Styela clava: one gene and its partner. The main gene of each other region encodes a partner of the protein of the gene in region 2 in a complex. Links are inferred from orthologs where the notes say so. Each region holds a gene or a part of one and is shown on either strand. Other genes may lie near its edges. The genes, in order: eukaryotic translation initiation factor 4E type 2-like and GRB10-interacting GYF protein 2-like.

Region 1 (10,549 bases), on a different chromosome or scaffold from region 2:
AAACCTATCTTGGAAAGAACTCTGTGTTCCGAAAGCTTGTTTTATCCCTGCAAATACAATTTAGGAAAATGTCAATTTTACAGATGAAATGCACAATGCAATGGAAAAGTAATTTTTCTTGCAAATGTTAAAATAGGTAAAACAGAAAAATCAATTTATCATATACCTACTACTGCTTAAATATAATATTTGAACAAGCTGGCAACTAATTTTCAGTGTGCACTTTATTCAATTTCTTTCGTAATACCATTTACATTTGTTAGCTGTTTGTCAATAGTACCACTTGATTTGTTTTCATCTTACTAGGAATTCATGTCGATTGTTCTATGCTATGAGTGGGTTTACCTAATAAGAAAAAGGTTGAGAATCCCTGAATTATATAAATGAGAATAATGCCTTGATAGGATAGTATGTACGAGAGTATATACAAATACATACCTTATACTTTGATTATGTTTTTTATATTCCATTATAACAGTTGGTGGTAAGTTGAGAACTCTGCGCAATGTGTCTCGAATTCTCGTGGTAACTTGTGAATTATTTGCAGTTTTATTCCATATAGATATTATATCTTCCTGAAGTAATTGAATAACATATTTGAGCTATAGTGAAATAACGAGACTGTGGGTGCAGGAAAAAAATTTAAATAAACAAAAAATGATTTTTGAATGTGTAACAGCATAGTGAATACAATTAGACACAAGAACCACAAGCCAGTTTTCACTTGCCAGAATCTGTTCATCACATCAATAACAAGCAACACCACTGAGCAGGATGGTGCGAAAGCGTGCAACATTGATAAACATGCCCAAAGCTGATTGATGGTGGGTAGGCCTCGTTGAAGACCCTCCTTGAAAATGATAATACTCAACAAGTGCACCAATCATAACCAAGCTACAATTAAACTTAAATAGGCCTCATCATGACATGTCAGTGAGATCAGCTCCTTCGCTCGCAGCCCAGGAAGGATTGCACTACAACCCTGCAAGTCCTAATCAGTCCCATTGAGAAATGTATATATAAAACATAGGTGTTATTTGTGTATTTACCTGGAATCGAAGCGAAACAACAGCTCCACATACTTCATCACCAACCATAAACTGTTCACCAACCATTGCCATAATTAAATTCTCCCAACATCTAGATGTAAAATGTTTCCTTAATCTTACAATCCATTTCCCACCATCTTTGTTTGCTTCATCCTTATATGAAAAAAATAAATAAATAGCAAGTGAAAACAGGGGATTCAAATTTCTGAACATTTCAAAGTTCATGAATAAAAGAGAAGCTTCATCTAATTCTAAATAACAAATTCATCTAACATTCACAGGATTCCTGATAAAAAATCACAACCCCCCCCCCCCATTTCAATCCATGATACAATATATTCCACATGTATAGCGTAGTAGACAATAGACAAGTAAAAATAGACATTGTGTCAATGTATGGATATCAAATCTAGTTAACCTCACAAAATGTAACATTCAATCAATAGCATATTTCCATCAAATATTATATAATATTCAAAAATTTGCTGAATGAAACACTATAAAAAAAAATTCACAACATTCATGAAAGTAATGGTAGTCCATACATATTGTACATATAGATGAGGTGATTTAGGGATGACTCTTGACTTATTTGAGACTATGTGGGCAATAAATTTTTTGAATATTTTTCCTATGACCTTTACTGCCTAGTGCCTACCTCCCACAGTGGTTTGATTCCTTGTTTGAAAAGATGGATATCACAATGGCCATTCAGGTCACCAGGACGTTTCATATGACTGTATGCTTTCCAAAATTGTTCAACCTAAAATGGAATAAAGCCTATTCTAGTGGGTTAAAACTTTATATTTTTTACACCAACTTCGATGAATTACATGATTAAAAAGTTGAAAATGAGTCAATCATGCAGTCATTGAATAGATAATTAATTACCGTGATTACATGTACAATTGAATGTAGAAATCCCATCGATATAAATCAGATACTGATATCACACTACACCACCCCACCAAGAATAAGGATAATAAAGGAAAATAAAAATGTGCAATGAGTCATGGATCTTGCAAGGTTTGGTGCTTTCCCGCTTTTATGTTTTTTTAAGTACCTTCAAATATGCCTACTTATTTACCAATCTAAATTTGAATCATTAGACTCGTGTGTGCCTCATATGTGCTCCAGAAGGCTAGTATAATCAAAATAAAAAAACACAATTATAATTTTTGGTAGGAATAAATCTCTATTTCTCCTATTTCCAAAGTGCTTAATTGAGAGCCTATTTTAGTCCATCCTTTATTATTAAAATATATCAATATCATTCAAAAACTGTGGTCCTATCAAATCAATTAAGTTTTTCCCATAAAAAGTTATGCTACCACTGGTGATAGGATAGAATTTACATATTTATCCGGGAAAACGAAAGCCGACAAGAAGGATTAATCATATGGTAAACCACGGCCTCTCGTCCGATTACCAGTACATGTCAGGTATGGGATTAATTAGCCAGTCATTTGTTTCTGGAAGCACGGACTTAATTGTGGAAGAAGCCTTCACCGACCAGCGGTTTCGTGAACCACACTACGGCGGCGAGGAATCCAGCAATCCTCTCACACACAAGCATCCTGCATGGGATACGAACCCATGCAGTGTAATCAGACGTGTGGTGGAAAGCGTATTCCTAATGCTTAGCACGATGCGGCACACCGTCGAACCGCTGATTATTCTGAAACTTTGGTAAAATCTTGATTCGCTTTAAGATAAAACAATTTTCACCCTCGAGAATTTGATAGCAAAATTTAAGAATATCCAACTATTTTGTACGGATTGTATGGATGAGGATATCGTAATCAAATCATAAAACCTGTGCATGAAAGATACTCACAGATATAAACGTCGCTACTACTCTGATATTTTTTTCAAAAGCTGATGGATCAGCAGGGCGACCTGGAGGCCTCTTTGAATACCAAAAACAATAAGAATATTGTAATGAATGTTCTCCTGAACCAGGTTTTACTTCTCGATGCATTTCATCTGCCATTGTTGCAGGTTTTATAGAGATTTCCTCTCCACTGTCATCATCCTGTAACCTACAAATGAAAAAATAAGTTAGGTTGAGTTAACCAGTTATTATTTTCAGATATACGAACTCTATTTGTTGATGATAAAGGACTGAAGGAAGTTGTAACAGACCAGAAGTTACATAAAAAAAGGGCTCGGGAGCAAGTTTGAAATTCCAATAGCTGCAGCCCAGTGCAAGAAAACTGATTCCAGCTACAAAGCTTCAGTTTATTTTACTCGAAGCTGGCCAACCAGCGTCCGATCCATAGACATGTTTTTTGGTATGACCACTACCATCGCACACTAGCCCAAATTAAGTTCCGCGACAGTCTGACAGTGTGAAACAAATTCATGATGTACCGAAAGGGTTTCAAATTTTGAAATTAATCTCCCAATGTTACAAAGTTCGGCTAGCTTTATAATTGTATTAGAAATTAAATATTAGAAATAAAATATTTTATTATTAACTGTCAAATACTTGAAATATGGTAACTTTTCGTGTATGGTCAACTGTCAGACTGTAGTTAAAATATACAGATATACCAGTAGATGGGTCTGGTATAGTTTAGTACCACATGCACTTCTAGTTGGCCTGGCTTAACAATTTTTGCAAATGTCATTCCTAACCCGTTCGTATCGTTAAATTCGTTATACTACGCCCACTGGAAGTACTTGTGGTACTAAACTATACTACTGTACTAGACCCCCAGTACCGGTAGACTACTGCAGTACTGGCACACTGTTGATCAGTATATTGCAGTATTTACTGACTGATTTATATAGCAATAGCAAACTTTATATAACTTTTTTTATGTGTATTTAGCCTATATAGCCTAACTAATAATTGAAATTTCAGTAATTTTCCCCTTGATCGGGTATCGGTACTTCAGTACTTACGCACTAAATTTGTTGTTCATTGTGCAACCGTACGGTACTGCCGTAGTTGACAGCCAGATCATAAAAAATGAATATTTATGTTATTTCTGTATTTACCGGTAATCAATGTACAGCCTGACAGATGTATCGTACCAGTATTTACGTGGTATTTACAGATTTATGCTAGTTCTCTGTAAAAATAAAACATCCGACTGTCAGAGGAAATTTATCTGTCAAGTGTCAACCAAAGTTACTTCAGCCCACACTTAACCTGCGGCCAGTGGGTCAATCAACTATTTTCCTCTATTTTATTCGCTTTATAAACGGTACCGGTATTCAATAAAAATTTGGTTGCTCCGATAATATATAGACCATTTGTGATATACGGTATCCCACGCGAATGCGACACCAAGCACGGCTCAGGTACACCAATGACATTAAACAACATGATAGGCAACTCTGACGTCACTCCATAAGACTACAGGCGAAAGATTGTATTTCATGATACGCTCCAATGCACATATTTATCGTCGCCTTTCACGACCGTTTTCCGCTCGCTTTTGCTACTCGGCGTCTTTTTTACGTGTAGTACCTGCCTTTTTGCGCTTGTAACGAAAGAAAATAATCTCTATATCTAAGACGTTTTGCTCACTTGGAAAGCTGGGATGGCAGACAAGCTGTAAAGAGCAATTCTGGACATCATAGACGTTTTTTTTTTTATCAGAGAAGATTACAAACGCGATAGCGGAAAGATTTGTGTGGAACATTTTGCAGATAATGACAAAGTTCAAAGTTAGTAATTTTATTGTTTGCGCTTAATGATTAAAATTTCATTTAAAGAGGGTGTCATACAAAACTGTTTTTACTTTTCTAAACGGTGTTTAAAAAAAAAAATTTTTACCTAATTTACTGGCACCTTTTTCTTGTCAATACTCTAAGCTGAGGTAATAAACAAGACAATACATTTATGTCATCTGGAAGCAAAATATGCACACTAATTAATAGTTTGACACATTGAGATAATACATCATGACAGAAAATACAAGTTAAAGATATGTATGACTATCCCATGGTAATTAAAATTGATAAAAATTAATAGGGGCTTTGGAGTATGAAAAGTTCAAGACAAAGAAAATAACAAATATTCATAGCTCATGAACTCTCAATTTTGCCTCCATTGCTTTGTGAAGGCCAATATATTTCGAGTGGCTGAATTGGTTTACCTTTATGATAGCAACGATTTTGTATTTAATATAGCGAGATTTTTTTCAATTTAATTGAAGTGATATTATTTCCCAAAGCAATGTTTGAATCGTCTAGAATTGATCAGTGGTGTCAAACTCATGTGTTTTCGAGAGCCGCATTGCATTTTGGAAATTGTAAAAAGGGCCGCAAACAGTTTTTGAAAATGTATACTTGAAAGATATTTTTAAGATAGTTTTAGTTTGTGACATATATTGTGATGCAACTAAACAGCTGGATTAAGTTTTATTATTTTCTTCAATTTCAAATGCAATTACATTAATATTTAATTAATATTTGCATTCCACTATTATTGCAACATTTGCAAGTTACTGTATTATTTATAAACAAATATTAAAATTCTATGTACAACCATCAAAATCAATTTTGAACAAGCTTTGGATAAGGAAAGAATAATACATACACTAAAAATGACTTTATCTAAATATATGAACCTAAAATTAACAAAAATACTACAGTATATACTCAATGTTTTTTTAATTACATTTGTCCTGACGTTTGGCATCTTTTTTGTGTCACCAGCATACTAAGGCTAGGCTGAAATGATTTTATAGTACCAACTCTAACTAACGAGGTCACATGATCATGGGTTAATCTTGATCTTTGCGAATGTTTAATTAATTCCAGTAATGCAAAAAAGTTACTTTTATCATTTCATGTATAGATCAGTAAAAAATAAAATGACAGATTTTTTCGACAAGACATTTCGTACCACATTGCGTGGCATAGGATTGCTTGAATTATTATTGATATTGATTTTTAGTAACTAAGTCGTTGTATAATTATATTAATATATAAACATATTTCACTTTAAAAGGTTTGAAAAATCTATTACATTTAGATAAAAAAAAACTTCCAAAATACTATTACAATTAGCGTTCGAGGGCCGCACTGAAAGTTCTCTGGGGCCGCGAGTTTGACATCCCTGGTCTAGATTGAAGTTGTCCAAAATATATATAACAGTATTTTATCATGAATGATGATTATACCCCTTCCGGAATTTCTTCTATAGTACTACCAAAAGTTGATGAACCAAATATAACACAGGTGCAGTGAGTTACCCGTTATCCTCATTTTCCAAAGCTGTTTTAAGTATGTCTGGCGTGTTTTGTGCCTTTTTACAAATAAGACCGCCTATGCAATCTTACGCTTTGGAATTTTTAGTTATTTTCCTCAAGACCTGCACGACGTGGGGGCCATACACAACTCTACCGGAGTCAAATGTCTTTGCATGCCCCCATAGGTCGTTTTTCTATTGCAAACATTTATGGAGTACTCTAATTATATTTCTTGGAATCACACTGTCGCTGATATGTCGCCAGACTCCCCTTCTGCTATAGTGTCCTGTGAATAAATAATAGGAAATTGAGATTAGACGAATAGTTGAAACTTTGCATTATGTCGGCTTAATTTCTTGATTGATATACTTACTATATTTGCTATTGCCTCTTGTGCTGCAGGAGTCTCACAATGCTTAGACAGGTTTGTCCACAACTTTCACATCTGAAGAAAGAGAGGAGATTTATTAATTTTCGTTAAGAATAAATAAAGCAGTCTATATGATTTAGAATGGAAAAGCTAATAAATCCAATATCCCATGTTTTATGTAAAAAATGTTTTACTGAATTTGGTATATAAACCAACTAATAAAAGGGGTTGGTCAGCAAATTACAAGCATTCGTGGCTCCAAATACTTGAGAGATCAGACTATACAATATAGACCGTCATGAGTGAAATGTTAGGTGAACTTGTTAACACTTTGATTCAATACGCAAATAAAAGTGAATGCGCAATAGTATGTTACAATGAGCAAATGTATATATCCTCACTGATTAAAAAAAATCTAAATGGAGGTGCATGAACTATTTGAAACCATAAGGGGTAAGTAAATATGCAATTTCGGCGAATGGGCAACTACTTACCGTACTGAATTAATAACTTCGTAGTATTTGACAAAGGCTGGCTTTCCCACGTGTACTTAACAGTGCGATGCCCGGGTGTGATATACAACAATAGTATTTACCTTACCTTTTTCCGATTTCTTTTTACCTCAACTTTCCGAAATATCATTAAAATCGACAACAACTGTCAAAGCAGACACGAACACCATTCGTGCTATGCCTTAAAAGCAGCACACATCCGCTCGTTTTCGTCTCGCCAAGTATGTGCATTGGAGCGTACTATCGGATACGATCTTCGGCCAAAAAAGCCGGAGTTGCGCATCATGTTGTTTAATGTCATTGGGTACACCGAGTACCGGTATGGCCTAACAAAAACGAGCGTGGGCTAGCGTCACACTACTGCACTAGTGTGGGCTGGCGTCACACGGGTGTGGGCTAGCATCACATGTGGGCTGGCCTTCCAGCAATGTTAAACGATGATTTAAAGCTTCCTAAATATCTACAAACTACTAAATTACATAAATTCTAAATCAGCATCAGAACTTCACAGAGTCCAGCAATTAATGCAGTAATGGCAGAAAGTGGTCTCAATGGACCTTTCCCAGAGCATCGACTTCTTGTTTACTTCGTGATCTTGGCCAATCAGCAAGATGCAAAAAGTGACGTAACAATGCTTCCTGTTGACATCTGCTCAGACACTTTTCTCACTCAGACAGATTTTCAAGCGTGGTCGTAAACATTACCTCGTTTTCGCGTTTTTGAACTCTTTTCGTTATCTTTCAGTTGTGTTTCGGAAACTTAAATGTAAATCAGATAATTCAATGGTCACCCTGTCTTCCTAGGAGTTTTAATTTAATTGCAGTCATATAAATTAGTGTAGAAATAGCTGTGATAGACTAGGCTAAAATTCTTTACCGGTACATTTAAAAAACAGATTGTTATATGCGATGAATCATAATGATGGTTTGAAACACATAACCCATTTCACAGGCGCCAACTCACAAAAGCACTCTTAAAATAGCCCCGAAAATTTTGCAATGTCAAAAAGCATAACATGTCGCTATTAAAAGGCAATGGTGATGAAAAAAACGTTGTTTTAACTTTTTTTCCCTTTAAACGAGGAATTCTCAGTAAGCGCCAGTCATCAAGTTGTGTTGATTACGTCCCTGCCATTTGTACACACCGCCCGTCGCTACTACCGATTGAATGTTTGTTTGTTTGGTGGTTTCCTTGGATCGGCCCCGTCGCGGCTGGCAACGGCCGCGTCGGCGTGTCGAGAAGACGATCAAACTTGATTATGTTCAGGAAGTAAAAATCGTAACAAGGTTTTCGTAGGTGAACCTGCGGAAGGATCATTACCGAAGGTGGTAGGCCTCGGCCGACCGCATTTGTCTTTGGGTACCGCCGTGGGGGCGGCCTTGAATCAGGGGCACACGCCCCGTGCGACACGCGTAACACGTTGGCATAGCAAGGCAGCCAAGTGCAATGGTGGCTTCTGGGCACCGCGCTCGATGTGCCGTCGGTCGGCGCCGGCGTCGACGACTTGCGATGCCAGCGTGCCGTGGAAGCAGTCCGCGAGACACATAGGACCTGAGTTCGGGCGAGAGCACCCGCTGAATTTGAACATATTATTAGGCGGAGGAAAAGAAACCACCAGGGATTCCCTGAGTAACGGCCAGTGAACCGGGAAGAGTCCCTGTCCTTTGTACACAACGCCCGTCGCTACTACCGATTGAATGGTTTAGTGAGATCCTTGGATCGGCCTCGTTGCAGCTGGCGACAGCTAGCCGAGAAAATGATCAAACGATCAATCACCGCCTAAATTCGGCAAACAAGATACAATAATGAAAAATATACTTAGATCGGCCGCAACCTTACGTACGGGTTAGAAGTTAGATACATGCCTGTATTTATACAATGAAACATCCCAGGCTATGCTAATTGAAGGGCCCCTCTGTACGAATGACATCAGAAATAACCTAATCGAGGAAATATACATAGGCGTACATACAAAACGGAATGGCACCAGAAAATAAGCCCTCGCAATATCCTCGTTTTTAGTGATATCTGGTCTAAGATATATAACATATATTTTATATAATGATAATTCTTACCTTCTTTGTAGCTTAGATGAATTAGTATTATATATAGCCATATATCGATATTTTTTTCATAAAATAAAGGCATTATTACGATATAAAATTGTTTAAATAATTTGAATTAGCATACTTTGTCTTTAAGGTTGAAGGAATATAAGTTATACAAATTCGTTTATGTGGCCGTATTTACATTTTTAATGATTTAAACGGTAAATATTTGGAATTAATAACCTGAACAAAAATTATGACATATGTTAAGTTTGAAACTAACATTATTCAGAAATAAGCCTTTACATTTTAAAAACGATTAAAAATGTATAACAGTTCAAAATTGATTGACAAGACCCTCGAGGAAGGAAGTCCTCAGGCTTCGGCTACTTTGCCTAATAATATATCCAGTCCCGGTTCGAATCCCACGAGTGATGTGACAATGTACAAGAGGATTGCTGGGCTCCTTGCAGTAGAGTGGTTTGCGTAATGGCTTATCAGAAGCGACTTCCTCCGCCAACCACGTTTGCGGACGCATTGTGCTGCACCTCAAGGAGGCGTGTAAGGGCGAGTGATCTATATTTGTGGCGTTTCGAGAGGTTTATTGCGAATAAGAAGAAATTTGCAAGTTTTTATCCTCTTTTCTTGTTCTAGCTGTAATCAATTTAATGCAAAAAAATCAAACGATAAAGCTATTTTGAACAAAACAGACAAAAAAAAAACTTGCTTTAAAACAATTGTTTAAAAACAATTATTTTCGAACATATCCCTACCTAGATTCCTGGAACTTTCGGGTATAATCATGCGCAAACAGAATTTGAAGCATAAACAAAATTTAATGATGTTTTTGTATAAGTTATTAACAATATTATGGGTTCCGTTTTTTTTTGAGTCACCCTGCTGTATATACAACCAATTCTATAAAATATGTATTTATTCAAGTAATGTGCATACACAGCATATACATATAACCCAATATACATATAGAATTATTTTAATGACTACACATCCAAATCAGGCGGTGTGGCTCAACGGGCTAAGCGTTAGGAATACGCTCGCCACCGCACCTCTAATTACTCTGCGTGGGTTCGCAGGTTCGAATCCCATGCAGGGATGGTTATGTGCGAGAGGATTGCTGGACTCCTCGCCGTCGTTGGGTGGTTCACGTAACCGCTGGTCGGTTACGGCTTCCTCCACCACCAAGTCCATGCTTCCGAAAACAAACAATACACTGAATACAGTAAAACTAATCCCATACTCGACTTGGAATGGTAACCGGACGAGAGGCCGTGGTTCGCCATATGGATAAGCCGTCTTATCGGCTTTCCTCTCCCCCGGGATAAATATGTAAATCCTATCC
Region 2 (10,082 bases):
AAGTTCATTATTGTAATTTAATCACAATTGATACTATAGTTCTTCTAAATTTTATAAAAAAAGGTAACGATAATATGATGTCATACTAAATAGAATCAGATTCAGAAATATTCAAATTTGAACATTCTGATTGGAAATTTGATTCGAAAATAAAATATTCGAAACTTACATCCCTATTCCCTAGTTTCATGCTTTTATTATTAAATGTTCCAAAAAAAAGCAACATATTTATTAGACACACATTAGCATTAAAAAGAATGATTACCGGTATGTATCCTCATGTTTCATACCTTAGCACTCATGGAACGACTTCTGAAAGTTTTCTGCTCGCGAACATCCCCTGGTCTGTCACGCCAAGTGTCTATGAATATATTATGTTAAACACAGTGCATATTACCGAAGTAAGCATATATAATGATTCTTAACATTGCGGATAAACATCCATCCATATATTGGCCAACTCGAAGTTCTCTCTAATCACAGAGCACCCCTATTTGATAGTGCATAAAAGATAAACTCATTGTTTTTAATCCATGAAATAGTCACTAAAAATTTAATCCTTTTTCTGTCACAAAATATCATATCATACTTTACCCCATAATATATTTGCAATCCTAATCGGAGCAATTGTGGAGATGTACACATAAACAAAATAATTTTGGGCATTCAGGTAAAATATCCTACAATTTATTATCATGTTCACAGGTCATTATCTAATTTTAATCAGATGACCCAATTCAGAAGATGTATACCTAACATTTACTCAATGTAAATACATGACAAAACACCAACACATAACAGATGGGAGACTTTCAAGTACCGGTAACTCGCTCAATACCTTTCCAGAAATCAGGTCTCTGGCCGGAGCCTCTCCACTCCTTCAAACCACCAATCATATCTTCCGCCCCATCACCCTTACCTCGGAGTGAGTCACTGCGCCAATCCTCACTCTCTGATCGTCTCAACAGAGGTGGTTTACGACCTGGACCTTCGTCATGGTCCACCCATGCTGTGCCTGGTAATACACACAATGATAAGTACTAATAATTTTTTTTTACAGTTCGCTGTGACAGAACAGCGAACAGCACGGAGTTACAGAGTAGCAGACAGAACAGAGTTACAGAGCAACAGGATAAATACTACAGAACAGACGCATTATTGAATTTGAAATTGCACTCAACTTATTGGGGATAGATAAATTAAATTTTGTAATATACTATTCAAAATAACAGTGCAGTTTTGTTCCTTGTCATAGTTAACATCATAAATATATAATAATCTGTCTTGAGAAAAACAGTACATTGACAGGATTAGTTGAGGTTGGTAACGATTTATTTACATCCCTAGAAAGGATTGATTGTTTTCTAATATAAATTATTGAAATGCATATTGTCATGAATAAGTAACAAAGTGTTTTTCGAAAATCAATCACATATAGGAAAAGAGAGCGATAATAAAATATAGGAACATATAGGTCAAATGACTAATATGAAGCTTAAAATCAGAGATTGCGTTTGAACAGATGCAGTAATTCACATAGTTATCGGTTACACAATAAGCTGACCAATGGATTCGTCAAAAATATCAACGGGCAAATCTGGTGGGAGACCACAAGCCGATATGATATATATGGAGCAAAATTCTGCGCACCACAGAAAACGAAGTAATACCATCCTAACAACTTTTCAGTACATTGCGATGGAAATCGCTAAAAGACCGTTAGAGGCTACTACTTTATTTTTGTCGTATCTAAGCTTCTTTTAATCAGGAGTTAGACAATTAAAATGCAAAGTAAGGAATATATAACTTAATATCAAAATCACCTCTGCCTCTTCCCCTTCCTCTTCCAGGTATGGAGCGACCTCTGAGACCAGTTGAAATACCACCTCGACCTCGAAAACCGGACGAAAGCTGAAAATAGAAAAATATTCAAAAATTATTTCAATCAAATGTTGTTGTCAATATAACCTTTTCATCTTCTTTGATCTTTTTTAGTTTGCTTGGATTAGAAACAAAGCTCATGCAAAATACCGAAGACCAAAGTGTTTTTAACAAATCAAAAATGGCCGCATACTTAGTTGACATTTTTAATTTTTATATTGTTTTCTGTGATTTTTGCTGTTGAATATAAGATACAAGTTTTGAAATACAGTGACTACATTGGTAGTCAAATGACTCAATACTCGAACAATTAGTTAGTCGACTAGAAAAATTCTGGTCAAAAAGGCTGAGATCCTCCAGTGGAAATTCGTTGCTTGAACACCCGAGTGAGATTATGTCACCCGAACCGCGCATCTAGGCTGCCTCTTGACCATTCAACCAAAGGACACCAAAACCAAAACGAAGTAGTACGGGTATGCAATCTGATAAAATAGTTACCATTTTTCTTATGGCAAAAAAGTCTCAGTACTCTTAATTAAGACCAATCCTGAATGAATTATGTTCGACCACCAATGTATCACTGTATTATATTTGTGTTTCAGAAGAAACATTTGTCTTCTCTATCTCGCAATGATTAGATGTATGATTTATACTTCTTTAACACCGAAGTACCAATACAAATAACAAAAATGTACAGTTTTTGCGGACCCAGTACCCATGGTAAAGAATACTTACTGGTATATATGCATATGGACATCACACTTAATTTTTTGAGAGTTTGTGTATATCGCTCAGACTCATGATTGGCACGGAAGATAACTCATGTGACACAGATGATTAAGCTATTTGATTATGTCTCATAAATTTATTGTTAGTTCTTTATTGAATGACTTATGAATAACCATTTATGTAAATGAATGGAAGAACCAGAATGGGATGAATAAAACTTTTTGAAACAGTCACAGAAACAAACATCTTCCTATATAGAAGTTCGATTAACCTAGAATTGAGTTTGGACTTATATATATGTCTATAGATACAAAAATATGTAGAAGGTGTTATGCGCAACGTATACCAACATGGGTTAAAGCAAAGACAATATTTTCTCTAGATGAAATTTAATGTCATGGCAGCTTTTAATAAAATTCTCAATTACTGAGATCAATTACTGAGCCTTATACTGGAGGATAGAACTGTTGATACTTGCGTAGTTCTGAATATTTAAAATAAATTCAAATCGAACTGTATGTACATGTACAGCTCAGGCGAGAGTGGAAGTCCACGCTATAAAAATCCTTTGCCAACACGACACCCCTATTATCAATTTTACTTTATAGTAAATGAGGAACAGAATAAAAACCGACCTGTGATTGATTAGATTCGGAAGGTCTGAAGGCAAGAGGAGCTTGTACAATTTCTGTAACGAGTGATGGTGCTCTTGCAAGTTCTTCAGGTATTTCAGAATCGTCCACAAACAATGCCAACATCTCTTCTCGACCATACCTGGAAAGAAACGAGTTCAAATCAAAAATCTCCAAACTGCAATTCCAACACATATTCACATCTTGATTTTTAGAAAACTAGAAGGCGTAACAGATGGCAAAAATAGTAACTAAATCCATAAGTGATCAGCTTATTATACTATACAGCATTATACTATAAAGTCATTGTATATAAAAAAAGTTTATATTAATTCCCCAATATACAAATATTCTATAAATGCATTTACCTATTTTCAGCCAGTTTGAATTTTGAAGTAGGCTGTTGAAACTGAGATAGAATCGCTGGTGGACTTGTTGGAGAAGTACTTGCTCCACCAGATAAATCTCGCAGCCTGAAATATCCAAATGAAAAGATTTAGTTTTAATAGGACTACCGAGTTATATGAATGTAACACAAAGTTTTAAAGATAAATCATGTAGGCTATGTTAAAGACTATTCAGTACAGTTTGAAACAATATGAGTTAAGTCAAAAAATGAATCAAGAATAATAACATTTATTACGTTCATGTGCGGAAACTAAAATTATATGGGTTAGAGGTGAAAAGTGTATGCATTCGCAGTGGAAAGTGGTACTTGACTTAGTATAATGAACGCAAGTGTCCCATATTCATGTAAAAATCTTGACTAATGTCAATCATACCAATTCAGCACTTTAAAATCTATCATTAACACTGTATAAAAACTGCCCTTTTCAAGCCTTTATTACCATACTTAATTTTAATATACATCTGTACATAGATATTATCATATATGCGAAGAGATTTTAAAATTCAGCCCCGAGCTGCTCAATCAAACTTACCACTGAGGGCCAAAGTTCAAGGTTTCAGCAGAAGACATCATGTATGTTTACACTGCAATATAGTATGACAGATAATTCAAGCTGGGGTAAAGGCTATAATGTATTTGATTAAAAAAAGGTTGTGATTAGTATGAAAGTTACAATACTACAATACAAGTAATAGCCCACACAGATGACAAAAAAAGGAAGCAAAGGTCACTCAACTAACTTTCCTGTCAGCCTGTATATCTGGTATAGTCAGCTAGTGGAATTATTGTACACAAATTTTCATCCCCATTTATGGTTTTATTACGGACAAAATTTGGGGTCTCGTGTAGTTTCGTACCTAACTAGTGGTCGTGGCGTAACAATTTTTGCACATGTCAATCCTAACTCCCACCAGACTACGCCAAACATTACGTCATTACGATGTCACAATCACGTCATAGAGCTTGCCAAAGTATACCAACAATCGCCCGAAATGGCATCTGTGCCGACGACAACTGGATAAAGAGATCACTAATGGCAGCGATCTCTCTCATTTTCATGATCGTTGTGACGAGAAAACGAGAGAAATTGCTTGCTCGATTTCGGGTGATCGTCTGCGCGTTTTGGACGACCATCCGCATACTTCGGTGGGCCTTATTACGCCACTGTGACGGCGAAATGGCGTGATTTTTCGGTGACGTAGTCAGGTGGGGGTTAGGATTGACATATGCAAAAATTGTTGAGCCAGGTCAACTAGAAGTACATGTGGTACTAAACTATACCAGACCCGACAATCCTCGGGTATTTAATGTATTAAGCTGAAGCGTCACTGCTGAATTAATAGAAAATTTACAAACCACCATTGATCAATCATTGCAGTATTGAATTATACAGTCATACCCTACAACAACTCATGACAGCATGACCAGGTACAGATGTCTGGATGTAGGCTACAGGCGTCTGGAAATACAAAAGTACCGTAGGCCTAGGTGTTTCCAATTTGAGAATTTAATACAGTATTGATCCTCAAAGACCTCAATGGTACCCACTTACCGATTTGAGGTTAATGCGTCTATGAATGTGTCATGCACAAATGAGATGACACGGTAACAAATAAAATGATCTAGATAAGCATGGCAATTTGCGGCCAAACGCCGTGCGGCCAAATTTCAGGAAAATTTTACCTATGAATTGTTTTAGTTTTAGACTATTTGGCATTTGAAAATTTGAATTTGTAAACATGAGTCAACTCGCACACTATTTAGCGACAATAACATAGAAAAGTAGTGTAAGACAAACTTTATAAGAATGTGAGAAAACGAGACAAAAACGCAGGCACACCGAGTCCAACTCCCCCCTGGCCCCTACTAGTCTCCGAGGCTTCAGCTTCTTTCTGGTAACTGATCAACTGGCGAGCTCGCTACACTTTAGCGCCCTCCATCGGGATTTCTGTTGTTCGAGGAGAGAAGAATCTAGGTTTGCTGGGTTGTATTTGTGACAAGTATTTACAATAACTTGAAGAGACTAAGTTTTGTATAATATATATATTTGCTGCTCAATAACCAACTTATTTGCCTTACATGGCTATCTCAACTTCAAATATCATCTCAAGAAAGCATTTCTAATAATAACCTAATATTGCATACAAATTTCATAATTTAAGTCTGTCGCGTCTTCACATAATTTTTGTTATTAAGTGAAACATTGCACGCTTAAAACGGAAAATAAATTAACTTCAGGCACCACATTTATCAACAATGTGGTCTCTGGTCCAGCTACCAGTGAAAGTAGCTCAAGGTTATTGACTAGGTAAAAAAAAATTCCGTGTTATTGATTAGGTCTTATTTTAAGGGGAGGGCTTATAATAAAAATTATTTTTGAAATTCACGCTAGGTCTTATTTTTGAGGAAACACGGTATCTATACCTTGAATTACTTTCGTACTTTGACATCGAAAACAGTTTTGCAATACCGAACTATTTCCCCGGCAAGAAAGCTATCGCAATCATAGCATTTATTTAACTGTTAGTTCCAAACATCACAAGGAAAACAGTATTCTAAATTACTATTAGTTTGGGTTACTACTTATCCTCCTCTATTGCATTGAGCTAATGAATCCGTAAGCATGTAATGCAGGGTGGTCCAAGATTGAAGTGCCACAAGAAAAAGTGTTTGATGTTATTATGTCGCTTAAAATGATACACTTATATGTAACAAATATTACTTAAAAGCATGCCAGACACTGCGGTTCACCATTGTTGTAAGCAGAATAACACGTTTTCTCCCAGTTAGCGTTAAACTCTGTTTTCCTCTGTCACCATTGTTTTGGTACTCATTTTATGATGATAATTTTATAACTTGCAGCGTACGTAAGTGTAGTGATATCGTCAAAGAACAGCCAAGTTCGTTAATTCGGGATTTCAGAACCTAGCTCAAAGCTCAAAGAAACAGGATCGCAAAGTCATATGTTGGTTACGTCACTGCTGCCACATGGCCCACGCTTAAAAATAGAAGTGTGTTTCACAAAACTAAAGGTACAAAAAGTCTCTCCAGATAAGAAGTTGCTTGACCCAAGTTTGAGGTGCGAAGTTGAAATGAAAGGCGCCACTCGTCTCAGACCCGGGCCCTGTCTGCACACGGCAAATCATTTTCCTTGGCCCCCCTACTTCCATCTTATTGTTCCACGCAATTTTCCTTTCATTTATCGCTTGGTTATTTCTAGAAAACAAAGCGCGCCGTTTTGACACGTAATGTTAATGGTGACTCGACACGTGAACTAACCGACCACAGGACGTAATTCCCACATCAGCACCGCCTTGACGTTTATAGATACAATCTTGAAATTCCGTGAAGTATTGTTTTTGCATTTTTCGAAATAAGTTGTATGGTTGTTTGGAATACAATCTAAACTTACACAAATGACTTGACAATGGTTGCTTGGCGCTTAATCAAATAACGATTTATATGTAGAATAATCAAATCAATCAGAAGATGCATTAAGCTATGAAAAATCTCAGGTAAAATGTTAAGTGAAATATAAATCTACAAAGTAATAGTTCATGCAAAATACTTTAAAAGTAGAATATTTAGGGAATTAAACTACAATTAACCTCATTTGTGATATAAACTACTAAATGGGATAAACCGATTAGAAATCAGTCGACCCCACTAATGCTTCAGTCAACAACGTGAGTGCATTGGGCGGACATCTTGATAGGCAAAGGGTTCAAATCTCGGTATCCTAACCCCAGTTGGAATAGGTAAAAAAAACTCAAAAATGTTCTGTCAATAAAAACAAATATCGGTCAAATGTGTAGTGTACGCAAAAATTGTTCTTCGGACTGCGCGGAATGTGTCTGTGCCACGTGCGGTTCGCGTGCCAAGTTTAGTTTTCTGTGACTGCTCCAAGGTGAATACGTTGGGTGTTATTTTACTATCGTTTAATGTAAAGGTCATCCGCGATAAAACATATTGGTGGGGAGCAGCATGTTGTCATATAAAGATATAGTCTACCGCAGTCATTCTCAACTTTGTTTTTAGACAAAGGGTGAACGCTAGAGCTATGGGAAATATATCAAGCCTGTAATTATTTTTTATATTGTTAATATATTTTCCTCTGCCATGTGATTACATACATATTGGTACATACTTCTGCTGTCATTGGAGGTTTCTTTGTACCCGATAAAACTGCTGCAAAAATGTACATAAGATCAGTTGAAAGAGAATATATATATGTATTGTTTTCGTCGAATTAGAAAACATGATCGTGATACAAATGATGTACATTGTACATACAAAAAGAACTACTATCCAGTGTTGGGGAGGTTCTAGTTAAAGAGTAAATTTTTCAGCGTTTATTAACTTTTCTCTTTGTATTTTGGACATTCTTTCAAATTTCCTTCACTGTAAACATTTTTCCCTGCAATTTGTATACATTTCTCCAAACCTGCCTTTTCTGTAAATTTTTTCTCTGGATGCTTCTCTACGATTTATTTTGTAATATTTTACCCGTAATTCTCAAAATATGTTTACCATGACTATTGCCACAGCCAATGGCTGTAAATAGCATATTTCGTTATAGGTGTTAGTGCTTGACCTCACAGCTTCTTACAAAAAACATTAATCTGTATCAATTTACGTGCACTTGTTTTTTGTGATGACGATTAAACGATTGACCGACTGAGTCGACTCATCTAAATGAGATGACTAGGACTAATCATCAACTAACTGCCTTTGCCCTTTTTGAGATTAATTAGACTTCGTACTTGAGACTGGGACAACCTACAGATTCCCAAACTCTCATTTGAGCTAATTAGTTCTTTCTTCCTTGATGAGAAAATAAATCATGATCACTACCACGAGACTTTTATTATTATCCAAATAATTAAACAGCAAGCAATTTCCATTTTGTATACAACATCATAACAGATACATAAAAAATCTAATAGTATTCCGTATTGCTTCTGATTTTTTTTTTGTTAAATTCAGTGTTTCTATTTTATTCAGAGAGGTGCACAATCAAAAAATTTCTGGAAAAATTTACACGTTCTTGAACATGACAGGAAAAGCTTATTAGTTTTAGAAATCTGCAAGATCTATTCATAAGCAAAGCTAAACTCAAAATGCACATTCTACAGTTGATAAAAATAGGTTGGTTATAAGAGTAAACTGCACATATCAAAACTATATCATTCTGGTAGGCAATTTCCCAAGTTGTTTAAAATTAATCATGAAATGATGCATGCTTCGTTTAATAATAACATAAAATCCAAAACACATTAAAAGACTAGTTGAAAATATGTATATTATCAGTTTCATCACAAGCAAGTAATTAAAACCAAAGCTTCAATAAGCTATCGAATCAATTCGTATTTTAGAAAATGCTTTCAAGAATTGTATTGAATACATATTAAAGTTATTTTTCACTTCCAATAAAAAAGCTTCCTTCAAACGTTGCTGCAAATCACACAAGGAAAATACAGGAGCCAATTGACAATAATGAATCAATCAAAGACATTAAAAATTATCATTTTTCTCATACATACACCAAATTCACCTTATTTTCCCGGCCATAAATAAGCGATCAGTATACCATAACAGTTCTATGAATAGTCACACGAATAAGCAAACATTAATATCCATAAAGGATTCCACATTCTTTCCAAATGACAATATATGTTTTGCCCAACTCATACGAAAAAACAAAGGTCTTTTATACTAAAACTCGCACATATTCTGAAACAGCTAAAATAAATCAAAATAATATTAATACTAAGGACTTCTACATACATAACAATAAAAGCAAACTATCAAGTCGTAAAAGTTGAGCCATATTGGCCAATTGTAGCAACACAAATTTTCATCAACTGATATATTATAGCCAAATGGGACTCTTACCCAACAAAATCACTGTTTCATAGCTAGACCATGTAGACCTAAATTTACTGACGGACAAAAAATATTCAGTCCCAAACTTACAGATGATTAGTATTAAATGGATTTGCTCTAATTAAAATGTTATACAATAAGAAAATCAGTGCTAAATGATTACCAGATCACATTCGATCAATCATGGATTGGGGAAACAAACTACAGCAATCCCAATCAAGACAGTTGGGTTGGATAGAAAATAAACTCTATTTCATTATTGATCAAACATGACCTGATGACATATTTATGTTTTTAAAAAGTTTAACAGAAAAAGAAGTGATTAACATCAAATACACAACCTTACATCTATAATAAGTGGCAGAATATATCCACGAAAAGAGCGATGATGGTACTATATACATTTCATCAAACTTGATCAAAGTCAGACGTGGGTGATTTAATGGCCATGTATTCAAAGACATTATTGATAAACCACCCATGTCTGGAATTACCGTAACTGCCAATGATCAAGCTTGATATGGGGAAGTCTGTATCAACAAAAT

The links.
Region 1: the proteins of GRB10-interacting GYF protein 2-like (region 2) and eukaryotic translation initiation factor 4E type 2-like are in contact, whole or in part, in a crystal structure (PDB 5NVM), measured with the Homo sapiens proteins. The link is inferred for Styela clava from reciprocal best matches to the Homo sapiens genes GIGYF2 and EIF4E2. Residues at the interface, in NP_001096616.1 of Homo sapiens: Leu38, Ala39, Asp40, Tyr41, Arg42, Tyr43, Gly44, Arg45, Met48, Leu49, Leu51, Phe52, Leu53, Asn56, Lys57, Ile58, Pro59, Asp61, Leu62, Asp64, Glu66, Phe67, Pro69, Ile70, Leu71, Gln72; in NP_004837.1 of Homo sapiens: His54, Pro55, Leu56, Gln57, Tyr64, Arg66, Asn81, Lys83, Gln84, Ile85, Gly86, Thr87, Val91, Glu92, Phe94, Trp95, Arg96, Phe97, Ser99, His100, Met101, Val102, Leu107, Phe113, Glu149, Asn150, Leu153, Leu156, Gly157, Glu158.

Annotation. Positions count from the first base shown.
Region 1 is NC_135256.1:19,554,296-19,564,844, forward strand, and holds the start of eukaryotic translation initiation factor 4E type 2-like, read right to left. Parts: upstream 4,144-10,549; 5' UTR 4,022-4,143; coding exon 3,960-4,021; intron 3,092-3,959; coding exon 2,887-3,091; intron 1,813-2,886; coding exon 1,708-1,812; intron 1,203-1,707; coding exon 1,050-1,202; intron 576-1,049; coding exon 439-575; intron 48-438; coding exon 5-47; 3' UTR 1-4. UniProt on the Homo sapiens protein: Recognizes and binds the 7-methylguanosine-containing mRNA cap during an early step in the initiation. Acts as a repressor of translation initiation.
Region 2 is NC_135257.1:11,069,918-11,079,999, forward strand, and holds the start of GRB10-interacting GYF protein 2-like, read right to left. Parts: upstream 4,281-10,082; 5' UTR 4,225-4,280; coding exon 4,184-4,224; intron 3,716-4,183; coding exon 3,611-3,715; intron 3,385-3,610; coding exon 3,246-3,384; intron 1,912-3,245; coding exon 1,824-1,911; intron 1,016-1,823; coding exon 839-1,015; intron 362-838; coding exon 291-361; intron 1-290. UniProt on the Homo sapiens protein: Key component of the 4EHP-GYF2 complex, a multiprotein complex that acts as a repressor of translation initiation. In the 4EHP-GYF2 complex, acts as a factor that bridges EIF4E2 to ZFP36/TTP, linking translation repression with mRNA decay.